Anolis sagrei: one gene and its partners. The protein of the gene in region 3 interacts with the protein of the main gene of each other region in a biochemical or structural test. Links are inferred from orthologs where the notes say so. Each region holds a gene or a part of one and is shown on either strand. Other genes may lie near its edges. The genes, in order: MAPT, ENO1, SRC and TAMALIN.

Evidence for each region.
Region 1: the proteins of SRC (region 3) and MAPT form a complex in vitro, tested with the Homo sapiens proteins (3 studies listed by BioGRID and IntAct, with this or other methods). The link is inferred for Anolis sagrei from reciprocal best matches to the Homo sapiens genes SRC and MAPT.
Region 2: of the proteins of SRC (region 3) and ENO1, one has a biochemical effect on the other in vitro, tested with the Homo sapiens proteins (4 studies listed by BioGRID). The link is inferred for Anolis sagrei from reciprocal best matches to the Homo sapiens genes SRC and ENO1.
Region 4: of the proteins of SRC (region 3) and TAMALIN, one has a biochemical effect on the other in vitro, tested with the Homo sapiens proteins (2 studies listed by BioGRID and IntAct, with this or other methods). The link is inferred for Anolis sagrei from reciprocal best matches to the Homo sapiens genes SRC and TAMALIN.

What each region holds. Positions count from the first base shown.
Region 1 is NC_090026.1:44,349,807-44,357,609, forward strand, and holds the start of MAPT (microtubule-associated protein tau), read right to left. Parts: upstream 3,343-7,803; 5' UTR 3,159-3,342; intron 2,209-3,158; exon of another isoform or gene 2,118-2,208; intron 1-2,117. UniProt on the Homo sapiens protein: Promotes microtubule assembly and stability, and might be involved in the establishment and maintenance of neuronal polarity.
Region 2 is NC_090033.1:2,612,558-2,620,296, reverse strand, and holds the start of ENO1 (alpha-enolase), read right to left. Parts: upstream 3,538-7,739; 5' UTR 3,439-3,537; intron 1-3,438. UniProt on the Homo sapiens protein: Glycolytic enzyme the catalyzes the conversion of 2-phosphoglycerate to phosphoenolpyruvate. In addition to glycolysis, involved in various processes such as growth control, hypoxia tolerance and allergic responses.
Region 3 is NC_090024.1:216,703,973-216,712,212, reverse strand, and holds the start of SRC (proto-oncogene tyrosine-protein kinase Src), read right to left. Parts: upstream 3,312-8,240; 5' UTR 2,553-3,311; intron 1-2,552. UniProt on the Homo sapiens protein: Non-receptor protein tyrosine kinase which is activated following engagement of many different classes of cellular receptors including immune response receptors, integrins and other adhesion receptors, receptor protein tyrosine kinases, G protein-coupled receptors as well as cytokine receptors.
Region 4 is NC_090022.1:139,274,144-139,282,452, forward strand, and holds the start of TAMALIN (protein TAMALIN), read right to left. Parts: upstream 3,259-8,309; 5' UTR 3,243-3,258; coding exon 3,075-3,242; intron 1-3,074. UniProt on the Homo sapiens protein: Plays a role in intracellular trafficking and contributes to the macromolecular organization of group 1 metabotropic glutamate receptors (mGluRs) at synapses.

The DNA of each region.
Region 1 (7,803 bases), on a different chromosome or scaffold from region 3:
GTGGATACTAATAGCCCACTGTAACAAGTGAAAGCTCTATGCTGCTTTATTGCCCTGTCCCAAAAGCTTGGTCCCACAGTTTTTACCATCCTTCTAAAGGACAGGAGAGAGGGGGGCGACCTGATCTCACCAGGAAGGGAGTTCCATAGCCGGGGAGCAATCACCAAGAAGGCCCTGTCTCTCATCCCCATCAATCGTGCCTGTGACAATGGCGGGAGGGAAAGCAGGGCCTCCCTGAAGGATCTTAATCTCCGCAATGGTTCATAGGAAGAGATGCGTTTGGACAGGTAATTTGGGCCGGGGCCGTTTAGGGCTTTATAGGCCAAAGCCAGCACTAAATTGTAGCCGGTAGCAAACTGGCAGCCAGTAGAGCTGGTGTAATATGGGAATTGTATGCTCCCTGTTATTAACCTAGCTGCCTCTCGGACTATTTGAAGCTTCCGAGCAGTCTTCAAAGGCAACCCCACGTAAAGTGTATTACAGTAATCTATCCTAGATGTAACAAGAGTGTGGATGTTCCTGAGAAAGCCCTGTCCTGAGTACCCACCAACCACCCCCTGTAGTTAGTGAAATATGTAATAGGATATCTTGTAATGCTAGAAGTGGCTTTTCATTTAGTTCTGTACGAACCACAAAATAACAAACAGTTTTCCCAACTAAAAATGCTTCTGTTAACACCTAGATGTCTTCCAAAACTATTCACTGTAATGGAGAAGAAATGACCCAACACGAGAGAGCAGAGCTCTAGCGTCATTTCAATAAAACCAACATTTTGTAGCAACTTCAATGGAATAGTAATAAAGGACATATTCCTATGATATACTCCCTTTCATATCTTATGTAGGACAGAATGCAGTATTAGAAAGCTGGTGTAGTGGTCACTTCAGCCAAGAAGCCACTTGGCAGCTTAGAAAATCCAGTCTTATCTGCCAACTGCGACATGGAGGTAACAGTGTTGAATAACTAAACAAAATTATTCTAAGAATGCCTCATAATATCTGCAAAATCTCAAGTATTATATAACTGCTGCCTTTCATTATAGCAAAAACTTATTGTGTTCACACATTCTGGAAGTAAGTTAAGAATAGAGTAGTGAAGCTATAAATCAACTATTTAAAGGACTGAGAGAAGAGAATGGTGATCCTGGGAAATGTTTCTATCTTGAATTGTATGATCTCATCCATCCTATCATATCACGCCACTCTTGTTGAACAAAATCACTGATGTTACTTACCAATACAGGAGTTTATATTTGCACATTGTAATTAGACATGATACTCGATTAAAAAATAGAAGTGGACATATCAATTCTAGCAAAAAGATTTAACAGAAGGGGTTACAATATTACTTCTAGCAAAAGAGCTTTCAAAATGCTAATTCTGGAAGTAGACAAAGGATTTTTTCCTCTTCATCCCCACCCAAAACTACATGAGCATACCACAATCTTTACCCAATGAGAACTGTACTTTGCAACCATGTATTCAAGCCTACCACTGGGCGTGACCAGCCGCTGCTATTACACTCTGATCCATTTTCCCCCTGTGAGAAAACCATTTGAAACTGGGGAAAAAATATCACAATGAAGACACCAAACAATTGGGCTGCACATCTCGGCATAGGCAGAGCAAAAAATGGCACTACATCTACATCCAGAAATACGTGCCGATGTATTATATTTCTGTTCAGAATACTTCTACTAATGTGAGGTCGGTAATTAAATATGGAGTGGGGTAGGATTGTAGAAGAGAGCTATCTTCATCCCCCCCCCCCCCCAACACACAGACATACAACACAACACACTACGCACTAACCTCACTCTGCTGTTACATCGCTAGATCTACATCTGGAAATATGTGCTGGTAAATTATATTTCTATTCAGAATATTTTCTATTAATGTAAGGTTGGCAATTTAATTATGGTGTGAGATGGTGGAAGAGACGTGTTTTCGTTCTCAAAAGGAGCCCTAGCCTTGCTCTGTTGTCACACCCATGATTTTAAAACCCCAAAGGTAAATCCCATAATTTTGACCCATTTATAGAACAAAGCAACCCCTCCTCTAAAGTAGATGACCTAGATAGCATCCTTTCCCCCGTGAAAATACAGTAACATAGAGCACCTTTTCCTTTGGTAGGTTGTCAGTCTATTTTTCCCCCCCAATCACGCAAACGCTCTAAGCAATCCTGGAAATATGACATGGACTGCAAAACATGGCACCACCGATGTGAAAGGGAGGGGGAAGAGCCCATCCTTTTTCTCCCTCCGAGATCCACACCTACTGCAGCACCAACAGCCTATCATTCGCCATCTCCCTCACAATCAAAACCAGTCTTCCAAAGAGGAGCACAGACCTATGGGAGGGACCGGCAAAGGGAAAAAGAGGAGGGGGAGCATGTCAAAAAACGGAGAAGAATAGAGAGTCCAAAGATGACATCCTTAAATTTTAACTGGAAGCATCACCACCGCAAGAGAGCCATTTGTTCCATTTCATTGTTTTCTTTCTCCTTCAAGTCTCAAATGGAGGAAAAAGTCACCTGTGAATCCATAGATGGAGAATTCATTTGTGACATTTTTTGATGATTTCTCTCCATCCAAAAAAAAAAAAAATCCCTCCAAATGTCTTCCAATTATCAACATGCAAGGCTGCATTGTTTGAACACTATGACAAAGCATGTGTGTGTGTAGGAAAGAGCTGAAAGGCACACCTTTCTCCTGCAAGGAAGCCTATTGAGGTTCAGGAGAGACACACCCCTGCTGCTGCCCCATTTTGCCTCAGAAGAATCAATGGCTGTGGATGGAAATGGGCTATTTTTTGCAATAAGCCCCAGAGGAGTAATTTCTCTCTCTGTGCCTATTGCCACATAAGCCTTGGCAGGTGGCAAGTGCGTGGCTCATTCACCACAAGGCTCCTTTGGAGGGAGGGGTGTGGTTAAAGAAGAATAAGGTCCTATTTGAATGATAACAGAGACTGAGCAAATGGAAAGGCAGCATGAAGCAAGCCTCCCCTGTCTGGCATGGAGCTGGAACCGTGGTGCCATTGCTAGAGCGCTCCCTCATGCACCTCAAGGCTAATAAGCCCAGACCCTTCCCAACCTCAGCCCGCTTCCCAAGCCTTGCCAAACCTCAAAGGGGCCTTTCCCCCCCTTCAGGGAAACCCTACCTGGCGCTGCGGCTGCGACCGCTGCTGCAGGGAAAGCTCGCTGGAAAAGCCTCGCTCACCAAAAGCCGGGAGGAGGGGGAGTGACAGCAGAGGAGAACGGGAGCGCGCCTCTCCTGCCGCGGCCGCGCGCACAAGCTCCCGAACCTTCGCCTATGAGAGTCCTCCCTAGCGAGCCAGATGGGGCTCTGCCGCGCAGGCGCACTTCACGCGCCGCTCTTGTCCTCTCTCGACACCTCCCTTGTTTGCGCCTGCGCACGAGCGGACGCTGCTGGCGCTCCTTTTTCTAACCTGGTTCTTTGTCTCTGGGAAAAAAAGGGGGGACCGGCTTTGAAACAAAAAAAAAATATATGCCCCTTCTTGCAAGGGTAAACTCGATCAAGGTAGGGATAATTCCACCAGAGAAGTCACTTGATAAACCAACCAACACAGAATACTATTTGGAAACAGAGACATGCTGGACCACTCTTGACAGCCATCATGCCAGACTACACAGAGAAGCCATTGAAATCCACAAACGTAGACAATTTCAACAGAAAGGAGGAAAGCATAATAATCTGGTTACCAGTATTAATTAATCTTATCTATATAAATAAAAATGTAATGTTCATTTGTGGGATTAACATAACCCAAAAACCACTGGATGAATTGACACCAAATTTAGGCACAATACACCTATCAGACCAATGAGTGACCATCACGCATAAAAACACAACAGAAGAGACTTAAAAACCAAAAATACATTACAACGCATGCAGAAAACCACATATATACACAAACACACATATATACACATATACATAAATATATATACACACACATATACACATATATATACATGCAAAACACATACACAGATTGGGCCACAGCAACACATGGTAGGGGACGGCTGGTCTATATAAATAAAAATGTAATGTTCGTTTGTGGGATTAACATAACTCAAAAACCATTGGACGAATTGACACCAAATTTGGACACAAGACACATATCAAACCAACCAGTGACCATCACTCATAAAAACACTGAAAAACACTGCAGAAGGGACTTTAAAAGCCAAATAATAAACAATACATTACAATGCATGTGCAAAACCACATACACAAATATATACACATACATATACACACACAAAACACATATACACAGAATGGGCCACAGCAACGCGTGGCAGGGGATGGCTAGTCTATATAAATAAAAATGTAATGTTCGTTTGTTGGATTAACAGAACTCAAAAACCACTGTGGGAATTGGCACCAAATTTGGACACGCTACACCTATCAACCCAATGTATGTCCTTCACTCAAAAAATAGATTTTGTCATTTGGGAGTTGTAGTTGCTGGATTTTATAGTTCACCTACAATCAAAGGGCATTCTGAACTCCACCAATGATTGCACTGAACTAATCTTGGCAGATAGGACTCCCATGACCAACAGAAATACTAGAAGTGTTTGGTGGGCATTGATCTTGAGTTTGGGAGTTGTAGTTCACCTACATCCAGAGAGCACTGTGGACTCAAACAATGATGGATCTGGACCAAACTTGGCACACATAGTCAATATACCGAAAAGCGAACACCAGTGCAGTTTGGGGAAAATAGACCTTGACATTTGGGAGTTGTAGATACTGGGATTCACAGTTCACCTACAATCAAAGAGCATTCTTAATCCAATGAACAAGAGAATTAGGGCAAACTTCCCACACAGAACCCCCATGACCAACAGAAATTACTTAAGGCCATCGAGTCCAACTCCCTTCACCAGGGTAAGAAAACGTGATCAAAGCCCTCCTGACAAAGAGCCATCCAGTAGTAGATATAGATAGATATGATTCACACACACACAGATATAGTATCATAAATTTGAAAGGGACCCTTAAAGAAGGACAATTATATGTTGCATGTTCCAGAGTAGGCAAACCACACACTCTCCGCATCAACACTGACAAAGAAACAGCAAGAAATACTGTTTACCCACAAGCATCAAGACATTACATATATTAGAAACCAACATTTTCTCATTACTTTATTTTCCTGATCACTAGACTGGGCCATAGCAACGCGTGGCATGGGACAGCTAGTAGATAAATAAAAATGTAATGTTCGTTTGTGAGATTAACATAACTCAAAAACCACTGGGCAAATTGACACCAAATTTGGACACAATACTCCTATCAGGCCAACAAATGACCATCACTCATAAAAACACTGAAAAACACAGAAGAAGAGATTGAAAAAGCCAAATATTATATATACATTACAACGAATGTGCAAAAGCACATATATACACAAACACACATATATACACATATATATATACACATATATATACACACAAAGCACATATACACAGACTGGGCCACAGCAACGTGTGGCAGTGGATGGCTAGTCTATATAAATAAAAATGCAATGTTCGTTTGTGGGATTAACAGAACTCAAAAACTAATGGGCGAATTGCCACCAAATTTGGCCACAAGACACCTACTAACCCAAGGAGAACCATCACTCAAAAAAATTGATTTGTCATTTGGGAGTTGTAGTTGCTGGGATTTATAGTTTACTTACAATCAAAGATCATTCTGAACTCCACCAATGATGGAATTGAACCAAATGTGGCACATAGGACTCCCATGACCAACAGAAAACACTAGAAGGGTTTGGTGGGCATTGAAACCTGGCACGAATATTCCATATGCCCAAATATGAACACAGATGGAGTTTGTGGAAAATAGACCTTGACATTTGGGAGTTCAGCATGGTCTTTGATAGTTCACCTACAATCAAAGAGCATGCTGAACCCCACCAATGACAGAATTGGGGCAAACTTCCCACACAGAACCCTCATGATCAACAGAAAATACTTAAGGCCACCCAGTCCAACTCCCTTCACCAGGGCAAGAAAACGTAATCAAAACCCTCCTGACAAAGAGCCATCCAGCTATAGATATAGATATAGATATAGATATATAATTCACACACACACAGATATAGTATCATAGATTTGAAGGGGACCCCTAAAGAAGGACAATTATATGTTGCATGTTCCAGAGTAGGCAAACCAGACAATCTCCACATCAACACTGACACAAAAAAACAACAAAAAAAAACAAGAAATACTGTTTACCCACAAGCATAAAGGCATTGCATATATTAGAAACCAACACTTTCACATTGCTTTATTTTCCAGATCACCAGACTGGGCCACAGCAATGTGTGGCAGGGGACAGCTATAGTATATAAACAGACATGTAATGTTCATTTGTGGGATTAACATAACTCAAAAACCACTAGATGAATTGACACCAAATTTGGACACAATATGCATATCAAGCCAACGAGTGACCATCACTCATAAAAACACTGAAAAAAACAGCAGAAGAGACTTAAAAAGCCAAAATTACATTACAAACGCATGCACAAAACTACACACACACACACACACATATATGCACTCACGCATGCAAACACACATATGTACACATATATACAAATATATGCACATACAAAGCACATACACACAGACTGGGCCACAGCAACGCGTGGCAGGGGACAGCTAGTAATAATATAAAAAAAACAAAACACCAGAATAAAGAACACTACTCAGAAACAGGAATTCCAGGCAGCCAACAATCAAGTGCCTGTTAACACCTCCCAAACAATGGATGTCCCCAGGCAGTAGCAGCCAGGCTTTGCAACTGCAAGGCTACTCAGGCCCCATCCACACAACTGTATAAAATCCCACATTATCTGCTTTGAACTAGGGATCCTTCTGCACAGGCCTATATCCCAGAATATCAAGGCAGAAAATCCCACATCTGAGTGTGGACTCAGGCCCCTTCCACACAGCTGAATAAAATCCCACATTATCTACTTTTAACTGGAATATATGGCAGTGTGGACTCAGGGCCCTTCCACACAGCCCTATATCCCAGAATATCAAGGCAGAAAATCCCACAATATCTTCTTTGAACTGGGTTATATGAATCCACACTCAGATATTGTGGGATTTTCTCCTGGAATATTCTGGGATATAGGGCTGTGCGGAAGGGCCCTTAGTCTCAAGCCACTACATTATATTAGCTTCTATACCACACACACACAAAAGTTGGGGGAAAAGCATGCCCTTGTTCTATCCACAAATTGCCCCTGCTCTCTCCATCTTCCACAGTGCTACACAAATGAAGAAAGGGATGGAGGTGTACTAGTAATAACTTGTCATTCTTTCCCTGTGTTAGCCCTCCCACAGCTCTCCTATTATGCTATTACGTTTTGTAAGAAGATTTTCTTTGCCGCTTGTGATGTATTCAAGCAGTCCGTCTTGTACTGGCTTCTGAAGCGGATGAGTAGCCATGTAACCCTGTGCGTACTTATAGTAATATTTTTTTGTAGTAAACCCCAGAATTCAATGGGACTAACCTTCATAACGATACGCTGGCGGTACCAATTTATGCAACTGTAAAAGATTAATCTATACACAGGAGTCACACAACAATTGTATTTGGCTGAATTTATTATTATGTGACAAAATCAGTGTTCTGTTTCTTTAAGGCTTTGCACATTTATTGCCATGCACAGGTTTATGGATTTTCAACATTTTTAAATGTTTAAGTCTGGTTTCATTTTAAAGACAATATGTATATTGCAGTATAAA
Region 2 (7,739 bases), on a different chromosome or scaffold from region 3:
TGTTATTATATTATATTGAAATATCATATAATATAATAATAATAATAATAATTATTATTATTATTATTATTTGGACCTGGAGAATTCCAAGCCTGGCTCCAAATAGGAATATTAAATATACACTTAAATATTATTATATTGTAATATCACATTATCATATAATAAAATAATAATAATAATAATAATAATAATAATTATTATTATTTGGACCTGGAGAATTCCAAGCCTGGCTTCAAATAGGACAATTAAATATACACTTAAATATTATTATATTATATTATAACATCATATTATATAATAATAATAATAATTACTATTATTATTATTATTATCTGGACCTGGAGAATTCCAAGCCTGGCTCCAAACAGGAATATTAAATCTACACTTAAATATTATATTATATTGTAATATTATATCATTTAATAATAATAATAATAATAATTATTATTATTATTATTATTATTATTATCTGGACCTGGAGAATTCCAAGCCTGGCTCCAAACAGGAATATTAAATCTACACTTAAATATTATATTATATTGTAATATTATATCATTTAATAATAATAATAATAATAATGATAATTATTATTATTATCTGGACCTGGAGAATTCCAAGCCTGCCTTCAAATAGGAATATTAAATATGCACTTAAATATTATAATATATCATCATATTATAATATTCTTATATTATATTACATAATTATTATCTGGGCCTGGAGAATTCCAAGCCTGGCTCCAAATAGGAATATTAAATATACACTTAAATATTATATTGTAATATCTTATTATAATAATAATTATTATTATTATTATTATATTATTATTATTATTATCTGGGCCTGGAGAATTCCAAGCCTGGCTCCAAATAGGAATATTAAATATACACTGAAATGTTATTATATTATATTATAATATCATATATAATAATAATAATATCTGGACCTGGAGAATTCCAAGCCTGGCTCCAAATAGGAATGTTAAATATAGACTCAAATATTATATTGTATTAGAATATATTATATTATCATACTATATTATAATATTATATTACATTATCATATTATATCATTATTATCTGGACCTGGAGAATTCCAAGCCTGACTCCAAATAGGAATACTAAATATGCACTATATATAGTATATAAGCAAAGCCAATAAATAAATAAATAAATAATCATATTATAATATTATATTACATTATGATATTATATAATTATTATCTGGGCCTGGAGAATTCCAAGCCTGGCTCCAAATGGGAATATTAAATATGCACTCCAATATTATGATATATTCGAATATATTACATTAACATACTATATTATAATATTATATTACATTATGATATTATATAATTATTATCTGGACGTGGAGAATTCCAAGCCTGGCTCCACATGGGAATACTAAATATGCACTCAAAATATTATTATAATATATCAGAATATATTATATTATCATATTATATAATAATATTATATTATATAATTATTATCTGGGCCTGGAGAATTCCAAGCCTGGCTCCAAATGGGAATACTAAATAGGCACTCAAGTATTATTATACTATATTAGAATATATTGTATTATCCTACTATATTATAATATTATATTACATTACGGTATTATATAATTATTATCTGATGATATTATATAATTATTATCTGGGCCTGGAGAATTCCAAGTCTGGCTCCAAATGGGAATATTAAATATGCACTTAAAATTATATTATTATTATTATGCTTCTCCTGATAAGATCTAAGAGGCACCAATGAACGCAGAGCGGTTTCTCAGATGTGGGAGACCAGGGTGACCTTGGGCAAAGTCACACTCTCTCAGCCTCGGAGGAAGGCAAGGGGAAAGCCTCCCCCAAAGAAATCTTGCAAAATAACCATCATAATCCCTTATTAGGTAACAAGAAATCAGATTATGAGTGTTGGACTATGACTCCGGAGCACAGGATTCAAATCCTCACTCAGCCACAAATGACCTTGAGCAATGAATGGGATTTTGGAGGGCATGTGAACTTTTAAGTATACCTTTAAATGTATTTTAATATTTTTATCTTCCAAGCCACACATGTTATTAAATTCATATATTTTTTTATTGCAGTTGCTTAAGTTTTCAAGTATATTGGGTCATGTTTGCTGTTAACCCACATGGGAAAACATTGGAAAAAATAAAAATATAATATAAATATAAAATAAATCAATAAAATAGTTCAATAAACAAAGTTTTATTATTATTTTTATCTAGGCCTGGAGAATTCCAACCCTAGCTCCAAATAGGAATATTATTTATTTATAGCATTTATATTCAATGTTAAATTATTATAAAATATTAATATGCACTTAAATAGTATACTGTTATATATTAAATATGCACTTAAGTATTATATTATATATTATACTATATTGTATTTATTTACAGCATTTATATTCAATATTAAAGTATTATCATATATTAAATATGCACTTAAATATTATATTATTATATCATACTACATGATTATACTGTAATTAATTATTTACAGGATTTATATTCAATATTAAATTATTATGATACATGAAATATGCACTTAGATATTATATTATTATATTCTAATATAACATTTATCACTTTACATTATTATTATATATTAAATATGCACTTAAATATTATATTATTATATCATACTACATGATTATACTGTAATTATTTATTTACAGCATTTATATTCAATATTAAATTACTATTAAATATTAAATATTTACTTTCTTATTATATTATTATATTCTAATATAATATTATCATTTTACATTATAATAATAATATATAATATCATATTATAAAAATAAAAATATTAAATTATTATTATATATTAAATATGCACTTAATATTATATTATTATATCATACTACATGATTATACTGTTATTATTTATTTACATAAATAAATAAATACATAATAGTATATTATATGAACATAAATAAATATATAATAATATATTATATGAACATAAATATATATAATAGTAATTTAATATTTATATTCAATATTAAATTACTATCATATGTTAACATGCACTTAAATATAATATTAGATTCTAATATATCATTTTATATTAATATATATTATATTAGAAAAATAAATATATGAAAAATACATTAAATAGTCACACTCTCTCAGCCCATGATAGGTTCACTTCTCCTTTATTTAGGGCCTTCCTTTTGCATTTTGGGCCCTGCTCTGATGGAAGAGGACCTTAAAAAACTACCTAGATATTTGGGAAAGGATGCAAAGTGGTCCTTTGTTCCCTTTGCAACCAAATCCATTGCAGGAATTTAGAATATATTATCCAAATAATAATCACATACACTAACACCCATGCACTTACCTAGGACTAAGAACAGCGCCTGGCAATGCAAAAAAAAAAGTAACTTACAATGATAGAAAACTACTTACTGTTTGCAAAAAGAACCAAGCAAGAGAATTGCAAAGGCTGCTGCTTCCTGTGCAACTGGGGAAGATCCGCCTGGCTCGCGCTGAGCTATAACCCGGGCGTATGCAAATCAATGCCCGGGACTCGGCTTTTTATTGGCTGGCTGGGTCCCCGGCTCCTTCCTGATTGGTCAGGACGCGCCTCTCGCCAGGCTCGCCTAGCCTTTCTGGCGCGTGCGCTACGTGCACAAACGCCTTCCTTTTTGCTCAAAGAGAGAGAGAGAGCGAGAGAGCAAAGGAAAGGAAGGAGAATTTTTCTCTCTCCTTTTTTTCACTCTTAAAACACCCGCATTTAATTTCTTTCTTTTTTTTTCAAGGATGGAAAATCCCCATTTTTTTGCAAAGACAATGCAAAAATGCAATACAAAAAAATAATACAATACAAAAAAATACAATACAAAAAGCAATACAAAAAAATAAAATAAAAATGCAATACAAAAAAAATAAAATTGAAATACAATACGAAACAAAAAAAATACAATACAAAAAATAAAATAAAAATGCAATACAAAAAAAAATAAAATTGAAATACAATACGAAACAAAAAATACAATACAAAAATGCAATACAAAAAAATAAAATAAAAATGCAATACAAAAAAAAATTGAAATACAATACGAAACAAAAAAAATACAATACAAAAATGCAATACAAAAAAATAAAATAAAAATACAAAACAAACCAAAAACAATCCAATACAAAAAAGCAATCCAAAAAATAAAATAAAAATACAATACAAAAATCCAATCCAAAAAAATAAAATAAAAATACAATACAAACCAAAAACAATCCAATACAAAAATGCAATACAAAAAATAAAATAAAAATATAATACAAAAAAAGAATACAATACAAAAATGCAATACAAAAAATAAAATAAAAATACAATACAAACCAAAAAAATACAATACAAAAATCCAATAAAAAAAATAAAATTAAAATACAATACAAAAAAAGAATACAATACAAAAATGCAATACAAAAAATAAAATAAAAATACAATACAAACCAAAAAAATACACTACAAAAAAAAGAGAGTGCAAAGGAAAAAGACTTTTTTTCTTTCTCTCCTGTTTTTTAAAAAAATGCATTTAATTTATTTCTTTTTTCCAAGGATGGAAAATCCCCATTTTTTGCAAATACAAAAATGCAATACAAAAAGTACAATACAAAACAAAAAAAAAATTACTATACAAAACAAAAAATACAATACAAAAATGCAATTCAAAAAAAGAGAGAGGAAGGAGACTTTTTTCTTTCCTTTTAAAAATATATTTAATTTCTCTCTTTTCTTTTTTTCAAGGATGGAAAATCCCCAGCGGTGTGAGCTTCCGCTGTCAGCCCTAGCTTCTGCCAACCTAGCAGTTCAAAAACATCAAAATGTGAGTACATCAATAGGTACTGCTCTGACAGGAAGGCAACGGTGCTCCATGCAGTCATGCTCATCATGACCACACTCTTTTGTTGATTTGCCACACGCAGCTGGATTTTTGTGTGTCAACACACCGCCGCGAAAGGGAGTTAAGTGGTACTGGCATCAATGGAAAGAGAAAGAAAGAGAAGGAAAAGGCAAAAGCAACAGGGAATTAATGTAGGCAAACAGATTTACCAGGGGCCGGTTCGTACCAAGTCTCTGAAAATTGGCATCTATTTATTTATTTATTTACTGCATTTCTATGCCGCCCTTCTCACCCCGAAGGGGACTCAGAGCAGCTTACAATATATATTTTCATACCATATATTTACAGAGAGTTTCATCTATGCTGATGATCGTGCCATCACCGCTCAAGCAGGGAGCTTTGAGATGGTTGAACAGAAGCTTTCCGAAGCTCTAGGTGCTCTCACTGCCTCTTACAGGGAAAACCAGCTGATCCCTAATCCATCTAAAACACAGACATGTACCTTTCACCTTAAGAACACACAAGCATCCCGAGCTCTGAGGATTATTACCTGGGAAGGAATCCCACTGGAGCATTGCAGCGCACCCAAATACCTGGGAGTCACTGTGGACCGTGCTCTGACCTACAAGAAGCACTGCCTGAACATCAAGCAAAAAGTGGGTGCTAGAAACAATATCATACAGAAGCTGACTGGCACAACCTGGGGATCACAACCAGACACAGTGAAGACATCTGCCCTTGCGCTGTGCTACTCTGCTGCTGAGTACGCATGCCCAGTGTGGAACACATCTCACCACGCTAAAACAGTGGATGTGACTCTGAATGAGACATGCCGCATTATCACGAGGTGCCTGCGCCCTACACCACTGGAGAAATTACACTGCTTAGCCGGTATTTCACCACCTGACATCCGCCGAGAAGGAGCAGCCAATAGTGAAAGGACCAAGGCAGTGACATCTCCAGCTCATCCCTGTTTGGGTATCAGCCAGCACGTCAACGACTTAAATCAAGACATAGTTTTCTAAGATCTACAGAGACACTCGCTGGAACACCCCAGCAAGCGAGAGTCCAAAAGTGGCAGGCTCAAACCCAGCACCTCAATTTGTGGGTGATACCAGATGAGAGACTCCCTCCTGGGCACACAGAGGACTGGGCGACTTGGAAGGCGCTGAACAGACTGCACTCGGGCACCACGAGATGCAGAGCCAACCTCAAGAAATGGGGCCACAAAGTGGAATCCACGCCATGCGAGTGTTTACAACGTTGTTTACAATGCAGTCAAGTCTTCATGTGTGTGTCATATTTCCCGTAGCATGAATACATGTCTTTACGATAGATAGCCACATGGTTTTTCCTGGGAATCCAGATTCACAGCAGACAGTATCAGGCCTTGCGCATGCCTGTTTAAGAACAAGAGGATTCTTTCTCATGCAAGGGGAGAAGAGAGCATTCCTGTTAGCCTTGGCATCTGTTTGGGCAAGAAGAGGCCTGCTTTATTAGCATTCGAATGAGCAGCTGCTACTTTTGGGCATATTGAGTATCTGTGCCAAGTTTGGTCCAGATCTATCATTGTTTGAGTCCACAGTGGTCTCTGGATGTGGGTGAACTAGAACTCCCAAACTCAAGGTCAGTGCCCAACCAAACCCTTCCAGTATTTTCTGCTGGTCATGGGAGTCCTGTGTGCCAAGTTCGGTTCAATTCCATCGCTGGTGGAGTTCAGAATGCTCTTTGATTGTAGGGGAACTGCAAATCCCAGCAACCATAACTCCCAAATGTCAAGGTCTATTTTTCCCAAACTCCACCAGTGTTCACATTTGGGTATAGTGAGTATTTGTGCCAAATTTGGTCCAAATCCATCATTGTTTGAGTCCACCTTGCTCTCTCAATGTAAGTGAACTACAACTCCCAAACTCAAGGTCAATGCCCACCAAACCCAGTATTTTCAGTGTGCCAAGTTTGGTTCAATTCTATCATTGGTGGAGTTCAGAATGCTCTTTGATTATAGGTGAACTATAAATCCCAGCAACTACAACTCCCAAATGTCAAGGTCTATTTTTCCCAAACTCCACCATTGTTCACATTTTGGCATATTGAGTATTAGTGCCAAGATTGGTCCAGATCTATCATTGCTTGAGTCCACCTTGCTCTCTTGATGTAAGTGAACTACAACTCCAAAACTCAAGGTTCAGTGCCCACCAAACTCTTCCAGTATTTTCTGTGGGTCCTGGGAGTTCTGTGTGCCAAGATTGGTTCAATTCCATCAGTGGTGGAGTTCAGAATGCTCTTGGATTGTAGGTGAACTATAAATCCTAGCAACTAAAACCCCCAAATATCAAGGTCTATTTTCCCCAAACTCCACCAGTCTTCACATTTGGGCATATTGAGTATTTGTGTCAAATTTGGTCCAGATCCATCATTGTTTGAGTCCACCGTGATCTCTGGATGTAGGTGAACTACAACTCCCAAAATCAAGATCAATTCCCACCAAACCCTTCCATTTTTTTCTGTTGGTCATGGGAGTTCTGTGTGCCAAGATTGGTTCAATTCCATCAGTGGTGGGGTTCAGAATGTTCTTTGATTGTAGGTGAACTATAAATCCCAGCAACTACAACTCCTAAATGTCAAGATCTTTCCCCCCCACATTTTGGCATATTGAGTATCTGGGCCAAGTTTGGTCCAGATCTATCATTGCTTGAGTCCACCTTGCTCTCTCGATGTAAGTGAACCACAACTCCAATATGCTGGAAGGGTTTGGCTGTAGGTGAACTATAAATCCCAGCAACTACAACTCCCAAATGTCGTCGTTTTTCCCCACATTTGGGCATATTGAGTATCCGTGCCAAGTTTGGTCCAGATCTATCATTG
Region 3 (8,240 bases):
AAGGCGAGACCAAGTTAAGTGGGAGATATTTAATGGGGGGGGGGGGGGGTGGAGCATAGGCATAGACATAGGCATGCTTTAAGGTGATGATACAACATAAACCCATAGGCGACACTCCTCTCTGGAAAGAAGGCTTCTACATCAGAAGCAGAACAACAATAACAACAACAGGGGGTGGGATTGGGGGGGGGGGGGGTTGGGCTGGAAAAGCCCTTGAAATGGGTCGTGTTATTAATATTTCATCTCTTGGCCTAGATAACAGCTCCTGGGTTGCCCTCTCCCCCTCCCTCCTGCCCTGGTTTCTTTTCCCCCAAATGATTTGATTCTCAGTGTAAGAAGCGGGAGGGAGGGCGAGGGAGGAGGGCACCTGGGACCAGACAGGAAGCCCCCTCCCCTCACTCCCATAGAAGCAGACACTGAACCACAACAAAAGAAAGCCCCCCCCCCCCCCCCAAGGATCCTCTTCCCTGGCGGCCAAGCATCCTGGCCTGCATCCTTTCACGCACACTGAGCACAAACAACAACAACAACAAGGCATCAGAACCAGGCTCTGCCTTTCTTTCCCCGCCTTTACTGAAAGGGAGAAAGATGAACCCACTCAGTGGAAATAGCTGCCATTAGAATAAAAGGGGAATTCAGGAGCAGGAGCAAAGAGATACATACACATACATATACACACAATATCCATAACCCACTTGTATTTTTTGGCTGCTACAATACATCTTAAAAGAATACAGGTGTTAGCCATTTTATTGTAATTGTATCATAATTGCTTTTAGGGTATATGTTGTAGTGTTTTACTCATGTTTTAGTTTACTATCACTTATTGGTTTGTTTTTTTTAATTATTTTCATCACGATGGATAATTCTTCGTTGTATGTTTACTGTTGTTTTTGTGCATTATCTTGTATTATTTTGATGTGTTTGTATTTACTTAAGGCATTGAATGTTTGCCTTTTTGTTTTGTGTCTGTAAACCATCCTGAGTCCCTTTGAGGATAGAGGGCGTTCTAGAAATAAAGTCCTATTATTAATATTATTGTGTTGTCAAAGGATTTCATGGCTGGAATCAATGGGTTGTTGTGAGTTTTCCGGGCTGTATGGCCATGTTCCAGAAAGCATTATCTCCTGACGTTTGGCCCACATCTATGGCAGGCATCCTCAGAGGTTGAGGGGTTTGTTGGAAACCAGTTTTTTAAAAACTCTAAAATCAGAACAGTAAATAAAGAACAAGCCTCAAAAAGCAGGGGAATTCCAGATAAGAATTCATCAGGGTCAGCGAACACCTCCCAACAAAGGATTCCCCCATGCAGCAACTAGCCATGCCTTGAAACTGCAGGCCATTAAATGCTAATCAAGGTGGCCAATTGCAACGTTGACACATGCCTCCAGCAGACAAGAGGTCTTTCCCCCACCCTGGACATTCCACAGATTATTTATTTACTTATTTATTTATTTAGAGCATTTGTATCCCGCCCTTCTCAACCTCCAAAGGAGGACTCAGGAAGGCTTAAACCCCATTCTTCTAGTTTCCAAACAGACCCCTCAACCTCTGAGGATGTCTGCCATAGATGTGGGCCAAACGTCAGGAGAGAATGCTTCTGCAACATGGCCATACAGCCCGGAAAACTCAAAACAACCCATTCCAATGTAATTGTATCATAATTGCTTACAGGGTAAACATTGTAATGCTTTTCTCAGGTTTTAGTTTACCATCTCTTACTGGATTGCTTTTCAATCATTTCCATCTCGATGCTTAATTGTTGCAAGTGTACGGTTGTTTCTGTGCATTATCTTGTATTATTCTTATGTATTTTGTATTCATTTGAAGGTATTGAATGTTTGCCTTTTTGTTTTGTGTCTGCAAACTGCCCTGAGTCCCTTCAGAGAGAGAGGGCGGTCTAGAAATAAAGTTTTATTATTATTATTGGGTTGTTGTAGGTTTTTTCGGACTATGTGACCTCACAACCTCTGAGGAGGCTTGCCATAGATGCAGGCGAAACATCAGGAGAGAATGCCTCTAGAACATGGCCAGTTGTTGTAAGTTTTTTCGGGCTATGTGACCTCAGAACCTCTGAGGAGGCTTGCCATAGATGCAGGCGAAACGTCAGGAGAGAATGCCTCTAGAACATGGCCATATAGCCTGGAAAAACCTACAACAACCCAGTGATGAAAGCCTTCGAAAATATTATTATTATTAATCCATATTCCTTTTTCTTGAAGGAAGGAGAGGAGGAGAAAGAAAGGGATATTCAGACATGAAATTCGAAACACAGACACGTGCTGCAGACTCTCAGTTAACCGGCACCCATGGACAAACTTGGGCCTTTCCTTCCAGGTGTTTTGGACTTCAACTCCCACCATTCCTAACAGCCTCAGGCCCTTTCCTTTCCCCCCTCAGCCGGGGAAAGGAAGGGGCCTGAGGCTATTAGGAATGGTGGGAGTTGAAGTCCAAAACACCTGGAGGGTCTAAGTCCCATCCAGCCAAGTAGTGAGCTGTCTCCTTCCCTGCAAACAGGAGAGACGCTTCTCTCCACCGGCGGAGCGGCTTACCTTCCTTCCTCTTTCCTCCGCCGGCTTTTCGGTCTCAGCTGATAGACGACGTCTGCTTGGCTTCCTCCCTTCCTTGGTGTGCTTCTCCCTCTTCCCAAACCCAAAGGAAGGAAGGAGAGGGGGGCTCAGTTGGAAGTAAACAGAGGCAACCCAGGAGGAGAGGGAGAGGAAGGCGGCCCAGCGAGGAAGCGCCGCGTATTCATTCAGGAGGAGCTTTGCTAGGACGGGAGGCGCGCCTGGGTCTTGCCTTCCTTCTCTCCCTTCTTTTCTTTCCTTCGCTGGAGACTTGAGCCTCGAAAGGGACCAGAACTTGGACGGCTTGCGAGAAAGTGATGTCAGCAGCAGTCCCTTCGCTGCGGCTTCCAGAAAGCCCGGCGTCTCCTTTCTCCTTCTTCTCCTTTTCCTTCCTCCGGAATGAGGAAGCCTTGGAGCGCCTCCTCCGACCCGAAGAGCATCCAAAGGGAGAGGAGAAGGCGAGCAGGACGCAGCTCTTCCTTGCCTCCCTTCGCTTGCGCTGCTTTATTTCCCTTTCCCAGCGGGTTTTCCTCCCCTGCCTTTAAAATAAAAAAAAGGAATATGGCAGCAGAACCGGAAGCTGGGGGGAGGGGAGAGAAGGGGGGAGGACAAGCTGCCGCCTCCTTGGCTTGATTTTTGGGGGGAAAGAGGAAGAGCGGAAGGAAGGAAGGAAAGAGGCGGAAAGGAGCCGCGCGACTCCGTCCTGCCCGGGCAAAAGGGGAGGGGGAGGAGGAGGAGGGTTGGAGGGAGGTATGACGTCGCGGTGAGTCAAGGCGTGACGTCTACGAGGCGCTTGCTGACGTCGGGCGTGGTGTCTGCCTGGAGGAGGAGGAGGAGGAGGAGGCCTTGGGGAGGGTGGTTTATAAAGGGAGGGGGTGGATTGTGGTCCTCAAGGGCTTCACGTCTGGGAGAGAGGTGGATGCTCTCTTCCTGAGGGTCGTAGGACTTTTTTCTCCCCCCTCTACTCAATTTCCCTCTTAATCATTTCGGTGGGGATCTTCCTTCCTCCCTCTCCTTCCTATCTTCTCTCTTTCCCCCCTCTTTCTCCTTCCTTCCTCTCCTTCCTATCTTCTCTCTTTCCCCCCTCTTTCTCCTTCCTTCCTCTCCTTCCTATCTTCTCTCTTCTCTCCCTCTTTCTCCTTCCTTCCTCTCCTTCCTATCTTCTCCTCTCAAAATAGAATAGAGGGGTAGCATGACTTCCCTAGATCTAGACACTATGCTCCTATTGATGCAGGCCAAAATCCCATTGGCTTTTTTGTGATGTGGCGGCAAAAAAAGCCAATGGGATTTTGGCCTGCATCAATAGGAGCATAGTGTCTAGATCTAGGGAAGTCATGCTATCCCTCTATTCTGTTTTGGTTAGACAACACCTGGATTATTGTGTCCAATTCTGGGGACCACAATTCAGGAGAGATATTGACAAGCTGGAATGTGTCCAGAGGAGAGCGACTAAAATGATAAAGGGTCTGGAGAACAAGCCCTATGAGGAGCGGCTTAAGGAGCTGGGCATGTTTAGCCTGAAGAAGAGAAGGCTGAGAGGAGATATGATAGCCATATATAAATATGTGAGAGAAGGCCACAGGGAGGAGGGAGCAAGCTTGTTTTCTGCTTCCCTGGAGACTAGGACGCGGAACAATGGCTTCAAACTACAAGAGAGGAGATTCCATCTGAACATGAGGAAGAACTTCCTGACTGTGAGAGCCATTCAGCAGTGGAACTCTCTGCCCCAGAGTGTGGTGGAGGCTCCTTCTTTGGAAGCTTTTAAACAGAGGCTGGATGGCCATCTTTCAGGGGTGATTTAAATGCAATATTCTTGGCAGGGGGTTGGACTGGATGGCCCATGAGGTCTCTTCCAACTCTTTGATTCTATCTTCTCCTCTCTTTCCTCCCTCTTTCTCCTTCCTTCCTCTCCTTCCTATCTTCTCTCTTTCCTCCCTCTTTCTCCTTCCTTCCTCTCCTTCCTATCTTCTCTCTTTCCTCCCTCTTTCTCCTTCTTTCCCATCTTCTCTCTTTTCTCCCTCTTTCTCCTTTCTTCCTCTCCTTCCTATCTTCACTCTTTCCTCCCTCTTTCTCCTTCCTTCCTCTCCTTCCTATCTTCTCTCTTTTCTCCCTCTTTCTCCTTCCTTCCTCTCCTTCCTATCTTCACTCTTTCCTCCCTCTTTCTCCTTCCTTCCTCTCCTTCCTATCTTCTCTCTTTTCTCCCTCTTTCTCCTTCCTTCCTCTCCTTCCTATCTTCACTCTTTCCTCCCTCTTTCTCCTTCCTTCCTCTCCTTCCTATCTTCTCTCTTTTCTCCCTCTTTCTCCTTCCTTCCTCTCCTTCCTATCTTCTCTCTTTCCTCCCTCTTTCTCCTTCCTTTCTCTCCATCCTTCCTGTCTCTTTCTTTCCTTCTTTCCTTCCTTCCTTCCTTCCTTCCTTCCTTCCTTCCTTCCTCTTTCCCCTCAAAAAATCTGAAAAGGAGATAGGAAGGTCCAGTAATTCCCCCTGTTTTGTTTGCTCAAACAGAAATTTTCCACGTAAAACCATGGAGTTGTTTTCCCCTCAGGTAAGCATGGAAGGGACTGCCCCACCCTCTAACATAGTTGTTCTCAGTCTGTGGGTCCCCACGTGTTTTGACCTACAAATCCCAGCCAGTTTGCCAGCTGTTAGGATTTCTGGGAGTTGAAGGCCAAAACATCTGGGGACTCACAGGCTGAGAAACACTGCTCTAACACAGGCATGGGCAGACTTCAGCCCTCCAGGTCTTTTGGACTTCAACTCTGGCTGTTAGGAATTGTGGGAGTTGAACTTCCAAACCCCTGGAGGGCTGAAGTTTGCCCATGCCTGTTGTACCTTCATCCAGGTGCCCAAACCCTTCTCATCTTGGAAGCAAAGCAGGATCAGCCCTTGTTCATACTGGGATTATAGAATCATAGAGTTGGAAGACCCTTAATCATTTTAGTCGCCCTCTTCTGGACACATTCTAGCTTGTCAACATCTCCCTTCAATTGGATACAGTACTCCAGATGTGGTCTGATCAAGGTAGAATAGAGGGGTAACATGACTTGGAAGAAACCTTGTAGGACATCCAGTCCAACCCCCTGACAAGAAGCAAGAAAATCGCATTCAAAGCACCCCTGACAGATGGCCATCCAGTTGTTTAAAAGCCTCCAAAGAAGCTTTCACCACTCTTCGAGGCAGAGAGTTCCACTGCTGAACAGCTTTCACAGTCAGGAAGCTGTTCCTAAGGTGGACTCTCCTTTCCTGTAGTTGGAAGTCATTTTTCCATGTCCTAGTCTCCAGGGCGGCAGAAAACAAGCCTGCTCCCTCCTCCATATGACTACCTCTCACATATTTATGCAAGGCCCTCTTCATGTCTCCTTTCAGCCATCTCTTCTGAAGGCTAAACATGCCCAGCTCTTTAAACTGCTCCTCATAGGACTTGTTCTCCAGACCCTTGATCATTTTGGTTGCTCTCCTCTGGACACACTTCAGCTTGTCAACAGCTCCTTTCAATTGCGGTGCCCAGAATTGGGCATAGTATTCCAGGTGTGGTCTGACCAAGGCAGAATTGAGGGGTAGCATGACTTCCCTGGATCTAGGCACTAGACTCCTATTGATGAAGCCCAAAATCCAATTGGCTTTTTTTTTTTTTTTGCCTCCACATCACATTGTTGGATCATGTTTAACTTGTTGTCCACGAGGACTCCAATATCTTTTTCACACGTACTGCTCTCGAGCCTGGCGTCCCCCATTCTGTATCTTTGCATTTCATTTTTTTCTGCCTAAATTGAGTATCCTGCATTTGTCACTGTTGAACTTCATTTTGTTAGTTTTTGCTCATCTCTTTAATCCGTTAAGTTCATTTCGAATTCTGCTCCTGTCTTCTGGAGTATTGGCTATCCCTCCCAATTTAGTGTCATCTGCAAACTTGATGATCATGCCTTCTAACCCTTCATCTAAGTCATTAATAAAGATGTTGAATAGGACCGGGCCCAGGACAGAACCCTGCTTATGGCACTCCGCTTGTCACTTCTTTCCAAGATGAAGAGGAAACATTGGTGAGCACCCGTTGGTTTCATTCACTTAACTAATTACAGATCCATCTAACCGTAGTTTTGCCTAGCTCACATTTGACTAGTTTGCTTGCCAGAAGGTCATGGGGGACCTTGACGAAGGACTTTCTGAAATCTACGCTACATCCATGGCATTCCCTGCATCTGCTGTCAACAAATGCCAGGTGCTGTACACTACCTTTCAAAGGAAGGAACAAGCAAAACCACCTCTAAATATTCCTTGCCTAAGAAAACCCTATAGGTAAGACAGAACTACCGCCATATGGCTGGGTCTTAGGTGTGATTACCTGGGAATGATAACCAAGGAATTAAATGAGGCTCTTTTATTGGTACAGATCTAGCAGATGAGAGTCTTTAACAGCTTCCAGGTGCTTCCAACCCATCTAGTCAACTCAGATGTATCAGTCTTCCTATAGGTTATAACTCATGGGATGAAACTGAGTTCAGTGGAAGAGTGCAATGAAAAATGAAACAAGAAGCTTTTTTTGCCCAAGTCCCTAAAGAGGTGCTGCCAAGTAGAGCAGGCAGTACTGAGAGAGATGGATCGATACCTTCTGCATCTCTGTGTACATTATTTTCTTAACTGGAGTTTTTGCTGGGGGCGGGGTGATAATTCAAAGTAAAGGTTGCAACCTCAGTCTAAAATAGGAGCCGTCATGCCCTCAGCTGTTGATTTTTTTCTGTACCTGCGCCAGTAGAAACTATAAAAGCACATAGCCTGGGCAAGGATCTAAGAGTCTTGGTTGATCAAAAGCTAAACACACGCCAATGCAGTTCTGGACTGTATCAACAAGAATATATTGTCTTACTATTGACAGAAGTTGTTGTGCCACTGTGTTCCACTTTGGTCAGAGCTCATTGGAATACTATGTGCCTTTGTGAGCACCACAATTCAAGAATATTGACAATCTGGAATGTGTCCAGAGAAAAGCAACCCAAGCCATTTCTGTACCTGCACTAATAGAAGTTAAAGTACAGTCACATTACGGCAACATATGGCAAGGATCTAGAGGCCTTAGGCCCCTTTCACACAGCCATATAAACCCAATAGCTGCTTTGAACAGGGTTATCTGAGTCCACACTGCCATATATTCCAGTTCAATGCAGATAATGTGGGATTTTATTCAGCTATGTGGAAGGGGCCTTAGTTGACCACAAGTGAAGTGTGAGTCATCAGCACGATGCACTAATAAAAAATTGAGGGGAGTTCCTTCAAGAATACTAACTTCTTATTCCATGAAGTAAAATATGGGAATTACTATATGAATCAGAACCTGAGAAGGCTAAGATGCAGCTGAGTTGGGTAAAACTGAGTAGAGCCAGGGAGCATGTGAAATCCATCAAGGACCTCCCTGCCCTAGTACTGTGCCTTCAAGGAAGCCCCATTTAATTGTCTTCTGGTTATTCCCAAATAATCTCATCTAAGATCCAACTGCATCATGGCAGCATTATCCTAAACATCAATAACTGGTGAGAGACTACATTTAATTCCCTTTGGGAAGAAATTCAGATATCTGAGTTAACACATTGTAGGATCAGGTACTAGCACTGCAGTCCCATGAACACCTAGCTGGGGGGAAGTAACTCCTGCAGCTTGGGTTGCGACTATCTGGAGGATCT
Region 4 (8,309 bases), on a different chromosome or scaffold from region 3:
CATGACAAAAAGGAAAGCAAAAAATGGTTAATGAGCAAGAACTGCAACTCTTTGCTATGAAAACCGGGAATTGGAGAAGCAAGCCTGGCGAACAACCTTCTGCAACTTCTCACATGGACTTAATATTCATGAAATCAATAGAGGATGGTTGGATCAAGTGACAACCAAGAAGATTAGTTTCTTGGTAAAGAGAGAGAGCAGAGGTCTCAAGAGAAGCATCTGGGTAAATTACAAGCAAGAGGGAGTTGGGAACAAGTGGCCTGGAAACTAAACAGTGGAAAACTCCCAGATATCCTCAGACACCACAGCCAATAGCCAGTTGGTAAGGAGATTCTGGGAGCTGCAGTAAACAAAGGGAACTTTTCAATAGTTTGGAGCCACGGTGACGCAAGGGCTGAACTGCTGACCTGAAGATCTGAAGGTTGGTGGTTCAAATCCAGGAAGTGGGGTGAGCTCTTGTGTGTTAGCCCCAGCTTCCCATGCACTGACACAAGAGTAGCCTCCCACAGGATGGTAACACATCCGGGCATCACCTGGACAACCTCCTTGCAGATGGCCAATTTTCTCACACCAGAAGCGACTTGCAGTATTCTCAAGTCGCCTCTGACACGATAAAACAATAGTTTGGTCTCTACAAAGCCTTGTTCATTCTGGTAACACGGGAGCAGTTCAGAACCTATTGTCAATGATGGCTCTATCCATTTTTATCCCTCTTTTAAAATAGAAATTATGGTCTATCACATGCATACACATTCTCAAGGCTTATGCATGTTTATTTTACAATTTGATGTTAAAACTCTGTCATTTCACTGCATTCATTATCATTAGATATATAATATAGAACTACCTGCAGCAACTTGCCGTGTGGAAGGAAACTGGACAGGAAATTCACAAAAGGATGGTAGCCTGAAGTTGAACTAATTTATGAGGAGTTAAATCCCAAAGATTACTTCCTAGAAGGCACAGTCTAGTCTGCCAAGATTATAAAAACAAGCCAGTGACAGTTCGAAAGCAGGGAGGAGGGGCATGCTCAAGATCCTAAAGAGTCTGGAAAAGTTACTTCTGTGGACCACAATTCCCAGAATCCCCTGGCCACGCTAGCTGGACGATTTGGGGAATTGTATGCCAAAAAGGTAACCTATGTTATTGAAAGCTTTCATGGCTGGAACCACTGGGTTGCTGTGACTTTTCTGGGCTGTATGGCCATGTTCCAGAAGCATTCTCTCCTGACATTTCACCCACATCTATGGCAGGCATCCTCAGAAGTTGTGAAGTCATAACTTCTGAGGATGCCTACTTTAGATGTGGGTGAAACGTCAGGAAAGAATGCTTCTGGAATATGGCCATACAGCCCAGAAACTTCACAGTAACCCAAAAAGGTTTACATCTGAGTATGCTATCCCTTGCTCCCAGGAAATGCCTGATCAGCTTTCCTAAAAGCACTTAGAAAAAGGGTTGATAGGAAGTTCGTTGAAATTATAGGAAGATTCCCTTCTTGCTGTCAGACCAACTTTTCCAGGGAATCCAAAAATGGACCCAGAGCAAAGAACTGGAAAGTACCACAAAGTATGGGTTGAGAGATACACAATTCTTTCTTGTCCCAAAAACGAGCATCCCACGGAGGAAACTTTCCAACACGCAGACCAACTTTAAACCTGATCCCTATATTTTAAGTTGAAATACTGCCCAATCCTTTTTGTATGTTTACCCAGAACTGAATCCCACAGAAAACTGCACAATACAGTACCCTTAAAGATATAAAGTGCTTGCTAAGGGGATAAATGGTTAGGGATTCAGCGCTGGGTTTGTGCATCACACCCAAAAGGGCTTGCACGCCTTTGTCAGGAATAATACGGCTGTGGAAGAGAAAGACAAACAACCACTCCAGCCAAGACAGTGCCAAACTGACCCTCAACTGTGTGTCCCAGAAAATACACACAAAGGGTTGTAGTAGGTTTTTCCGGGCTATATGGCCATGTTCTAGACTCTAGAGGCATTTTCTCCTGACGTTTTGCCTGCATCTATGGCAAGCATCCTCAGAGAAGGATGTTTGCCACAGATGCAGGTGAAACGTCAGGAGAAAATGCCTCTAGAACATGGACATATAGCCCAGAAAAACCTACTACAACCCAGTGATTCTGGCCATGAAAGCCTTCGACAATACAAAACACACAAAGCTGGACCACAACACGTTTGAAATGTCCTTTATATCGAGACTCACAGACACCTCTTCCTAACTTTTGCACTGATGTTTCCCTACTTTCTCTCTCTTAAAAATAACCAAAAAAAAGTATCATCTTATACATGTAGTCCTAGAAACCATAGGCCAGGAGCCCCCAGAGGCACAATGGGTTAAACCCTTGTGCTGGCAGGATTGCTGACCGAAAGATTGGCCGTTTGAATCCAGGGAACGGGATGAGCTCCCATCTGTCAGCTCCAGCTCCCCATGCAGGGACATGAGAGAAGCCTCCCACAGGGTGGTAAAACATCCGGGTGTGCCCTGGGCAACATCCCTGCAGACTGTTAGTTCTCTCACACTAAAAGCGACTTGCAGTTTCTCAAGTTGCTCCTGACATTTTAAAAAAACAGGCCAGTTTCCCAAACTGTGCTCCTCCAGATGTTTTGGACTTCAGTTCCCACAATTCCTAACAGCTGGTAAGCTGGTTGGGATTTCTGGGAGCGGAAGCCCAAAACACTTTGAGGAGCAGAGTTTGAGAAGCACTTCCATAGGTGATCCTGCGACTTCCATGGCTGGGTCTAGAATAGATGCTTGAGAGGATGTGACATAGAGGAGCCTCTTTCTCCTTCGAAGCAGAGGCTGGATGGCCATCTGTCGGGGAGGCTTTGATGGTTCTTTGCCAGAAAAAGGTGGGACTGTGCCTCTTCCAGCTCGAGGATTCCAGGAGACAGAGAAGGATGGGGGTCAGGAGACATGTCAAGGCGAAAGTCCTGCGAAGTAGTTCCCCAGAACTCGGCCTTGGGACCCGCATGGCAGGGCTGGGGACGGCCACGAGGAGGGAGGGATGGGGGCTTCCCTCCCTGCCTGCTTCCTTCGGTCTCCGCCCTTCACTCACCCGCCTGGCTCTGGGCAGGGTCCCTCCTGAGGCCGCCAGCGCCTTCTCCAGCTCCAGCTCCGAGGCTCTCCCCCCGAGGACGCCCCTCGCCCCCGGCATGCTCCCGGAGCCCGCCGCTTCCTCCTCGGGCTGCCCGGGACGGAGCCTCCGGAGCCTCCGCAGGGTCATGGCCGAGCAGGGTGGGTGGGTGGGCGACGGCTTCGAGCGAGATGGGCTCCTCCGAGGGGAGGCTGGCGAAGACAAGGGAAGGGGACGAGCCTCCTTGCCAAGGCCACGCCCCCTCATCTGCATAGCCCCACCCCTCATCTGCATAGACGCGCCCACTGCCATTTCAGCCGCCTCTGGAGTCAATGGAAACCACGCCTTCTCTTCCTGCAAGCCACGCCTCTTCTCCAAACAAGCCACGCCCCTCCCTCGAGGAATTCTCCTCTCTCTTCCATTCCACAATGTAGAATCCTTTTGTTGTTGTTCATTCGTTCCTTACTCTTCGTGACCTCATGGACCAGCCCACGCCAGAGCTCCCTGTTGGCCGTCACCACCTCCAGCTCCTTCAAGGTCAAGCCAGTCACTTCAAGGATGCCATCCATCTATCTTGCCCTTGCCCTCTTCCTTTTTCCTTCCATTTCCCTCAGCATCATTATCTTCTCTAAGCTTTCCTGTCTTCTCATGATGAGGCCAAAAAACTTCATCTTGGCCTCTACTATTCTTCCGTCCAATGAGCAGTCGGACTTTATTTCTTGAAGTATGGACTGGTTGGATCTTCTTGTGGTCCAAGGCACTCTCAGAACTTTCCTCCAGCACCACAGTTCAAAAGTGCCTACCTTCCTTCGCTCAGCCTTCCTTATGGTCCAGCTTTTGCATCCATGGGTTACTTACGGGGAATACCATTGCTTCGTTGCCAGTGTGATGTCTCTACTCTTCATTATTTTATCAAGATTGGACATTGCTCTCCTCCCAAGAATTGTAGAATCGTCTATATAAATAAAAATGTAAAGTTTGCGTTGTTGTAGGTTTTTTTGGGCTATATGACCATGTTTTAGAGGCATTTTCTCCTGACATTTCACCTGCATCTATGGCAAGCATCCTCAGAGGTAGTGAGGTCACCTCACGACCTCTGAGGATGCTTGCCATAGATGCAGGCGAAATGTCAGGAGAAAATGCCTCTAGAACATGGCCATATAGCCCAAAAAAACCTTTAACAACCCAGTGATTGCAGCCATGAAAGCCTTCGACAATACAATGTAATGTTTGTTTGTGGGATTAACATAACTCAAGAACCAATGGACAAATGGACACCAAATTTGGACACAATACACCTATTAGGCCAACAAGTGACCATCATTCATAAAAATACCGAAAAACACATCAGAAGAGACTTAAAAAGCCAATTAAAAATACATTACTACACATGCACAAAACCATATATATATATATATATATATATACACACACACACACAAACACACATATGCAAATATACAGAAATATACACACACACATATACACACACACAAAACATATACACAGACTGGGTCACAGCAATGTGTTGCAGCGGACGGCTAGTAAAGTCATAGAGTCTTTAGAATCATAGAGTTGGAAGAGACCTCGTGGGCCATCTAGTCCAACCCATTTGGCCAATAAGCAGGAAAATCACCTTCAAAGCACCCCCAACAGATGGCCATCCAGACTCTGCTTAAAAGCCTCCAAAGAAGGAGCATCCACTACACTCCAGGGCAGAGAGTTCCACTGCTAAACAGTTCTCACAGTCAGGAAGTTCTTGCTCATGTTGAGGTGGAATCTCCTTTCCTGTAGTTTGAAGCCATTGTTCCGCGTCCTAGTCTCCAGGGCAGCAGAAAACAAGTTTGCTCCCTCCTCCCAGGGGCGGCTCAACCCATTACGCAAAGTAAGCATTTGCAGTATAGTTGATTTTGCCCAGGGGCGCTCTTGAGGCGCTCTTGGGGGAAAATAGACCTTGACATATGCGAGTTGTAGTTACTGGGATGAATAGTTCACCTACAATCAAAGAGCATTCTGAACTCCACCAATGATGGAATTGAACCAAATATGGCACACAGAACTCCCATGATGAACAGAAAATTTATATCAATGATTGGTTGGGGGGGGGGGGGGAGGCGCCAAAATACTGTTTGCTTACCATTGAAAATTACCTAGGGCCACCTCTGCCTCCTCCCTATCACTTTCCCTCACATATTTATACATGGCATGGCGCATTAACATGTGGTGTTTGCGCCCTACACCACTGGAGGAATTATACTCTTTAGCTGGCATTGCACCACCTGACATCTGCTGGGAAGTAGCAGCCAACAATGAAAGGACCAAGGCAGTGACATCTTCGGGCCATCCTCTGTTCAACCAGCACACCAACGCCTTAAATCAATTAATACAGAGATACTTACAGGAACACCTCAGCAAGTAAGAGTCCAAAAGTAGCAGGCTCAAACCTGAAACCTCAAGCTATGGTTGATACTGAATGAGAGACTCCCATTTGGGCACACAGAAGACGGGGTGACTTGGAAGGCAATGAACACGAGATGCAGAGCCAACCATAAGAAATGGGGCCACAAAGTGGAGTCCAGCCAACCACAGGCCACTTACTACAATGCAGCCTGAGCCCTGCCACATTCATAATGGAGGATCTTCTCACAGCGATACCAGAGGCACTCCAAGTGGCCAGCCACTGGTCAAAGGACATTTAGTATAATGCCAAGTTTTTAAACTTCTTGTTTTTTTAAAAATATATACATTACAACTATACCCCTGATTTGCATATGATACGATAAATAAAAACCATGACCCAGGAGTGCAAGTGTTGGGCCTGTGTTGCCTCTCCCCATTAATGGAGCTGGGTACCTGCAATTACTAATGGAAGGAGAGATGGCAGGAATGTGCGCAGGCCTGCTGCCTGGCACACACAATGCCTGCCCTCTTCAACTTTTCCCAACTACTTGGGCGCCTCTCCTTTGCCCGCTGCACGAGGATGGGTCAGGCTTCTAAATGCAGGAGCGCCCTCTGCCGGCATCCAGCCGAATTTCAGGGATAATGTCTGCTGGGCCCTGCAAAGTCAGGGATAGAATCATAGGCACAGAGTTGGAAGAGACCTCGTGAGCTATCCAGTACAACCCCATTCGGCCAAGAAGCAGGAAAGTCACATTCAAAGCACCCCCGACAGATGGCCATCCTGCCTTTGTGGGAAAAAACTAGAAGGCGCTTGACATAAACAAAGAAGAAAACAAGCTTCTTCTGGGAAACTAATAATAACTATTATAATAATAGCTATTATAATGTTAACCTTTAACATCTAAAAACCCTAATATAATAGTTCTGAACCTGCTTGCCATCAAATTACCCTATATGCTATATATATTATTTAAGTAAAAACATTGATCTAAAAAACCTTGGCTGACTTATCAAGGGGTCAATGTAAATATTGTACCTTAACTCTTATGAAAAAGGAACAATCTCTTCTGAATACAGTGGTGAAAGGCAAAAGCATAGCCCCATATGCCAGGGGAACGTATAGGACGCACTAAGCCAGCTTTGCTCTCTCCACCATGGCACAGTTTCTGACCTTTTCAAATGCCTTACAGCAGTGTTTCACAACCTGGGGGTCGGGACCCCTGAGAGGGTCATGAGGGGGTGTCATAGGGGCCGTAAAAGGCCATCAGAGAACACAGTGTTTTCTGTTGGTCATGTGGATTCTGTGTGGGAAGTTTGGCCCAATTTTGTTGTTGGTCGGGTTCAGAAGGCTTTTTGATTGTAGGTGAACTATAAATCCCAGCAACTACAACTCCCAAATGTCAAGGTCTATTTCCCCCAGACTCCACCAGTGTTCACATTTGGGCATATTGAGTGTTCGTGCCCAGTTTGGTCCAGATTCATCATTGCGTGAATCCACAGTGCTCCTCTGGATATAGGTGAACTACAACTCCCAATCTCAAGGTCAATGCCCACCAAACCCTTCCAGTGTTTTGTGTTGGTCATGGGAGCTTTGTGTGCCAAGTTCGGCTCAAATCCATTGCTGGTGGAGTTCAGAATGCTCTTTGATTATAAGTGAACTAAAGAGGGAAAGAATGAAGGAATAGGAAGAACCTCCAAAAGATACCGGGAAGTCAACGCCAGAATCATCATGCATATCCCATTCCCCCACTCTTTCCCCACAACTCTCTTCCCAATTCTCGATTCCCACACCTGGCACATTATATATATATGTATATATACATTGTTTCAACATCTATTAATCACACTACTTCCTATTCTTTTCTACGCTTTTACTCTCCCCTCCCACTACCCTAAACTCCTCTTTACCACCCTACCCATCAGCTATTGTATGTTTTTAATGGAAAATTAATAAAGATTATTTTAAACAGATTATAAGTGAACTATAAATCCCAGCAACTACAACTCCCAAATTACAAAATCAATCCTCCCCACTAGCATTCACATTTGGTTGTATTGGCAGGGGTGGCTCAACCCATTACGCAAAGTAAGCATTTGCAGTATAGTTGATTTTGCCCAGGGGCGCTTTCGAGGCGCTCTTGGGGGAAAACAGACCTTGACATATGCGAGTTGTAGTTACTGGGATGTATAGTTCACCTACAATCAAAGAGCATTCTGAACTCCACCAATGATGGAATTGAACCAAATATGGCACACAGAACTCCCACGACGAACAGAAAATATATATCAGTGATTGTTGGAAAGGGGGGGGGGGGGGGAGGCGGGAATACTGTTTGCTTACTGTTGAAAATTACCTAGGGCCACCTCTGCGTATTGGGTATTTGTGCTCAATTTGGTCCAGTGAATGAAAAATACATCCTGCATATTGGATATTTACGACTTATAACAATAGTAAAATGACAGATATCAAGTAGCAACAAAAACAATATTATGGTTGGGGGTCACCATAACATGACGAACTGTATTAAGGGGTCAGGGCATTAGGAAGGTTGAGAACCACTGCCTTACAGGATAATAGTGGTGGCTTTCTTATTGACTTAGGCATGGGTCATATCAAAATCCATACAGACAAATAGAACATAAAGAATATATAAAAATAGTCTAATGTATGATTCAGTAAAATGAGAATCAATAGAATTAAAAATATTTTAATAACAATTCTGGAAACAAAAATAAGAGCAAAGTTATGGAAAATAGTTACTAAAAGTCTGTTGAAACAATCGGGGTTGAAGGTATTACCCTGTATATACTCATTTA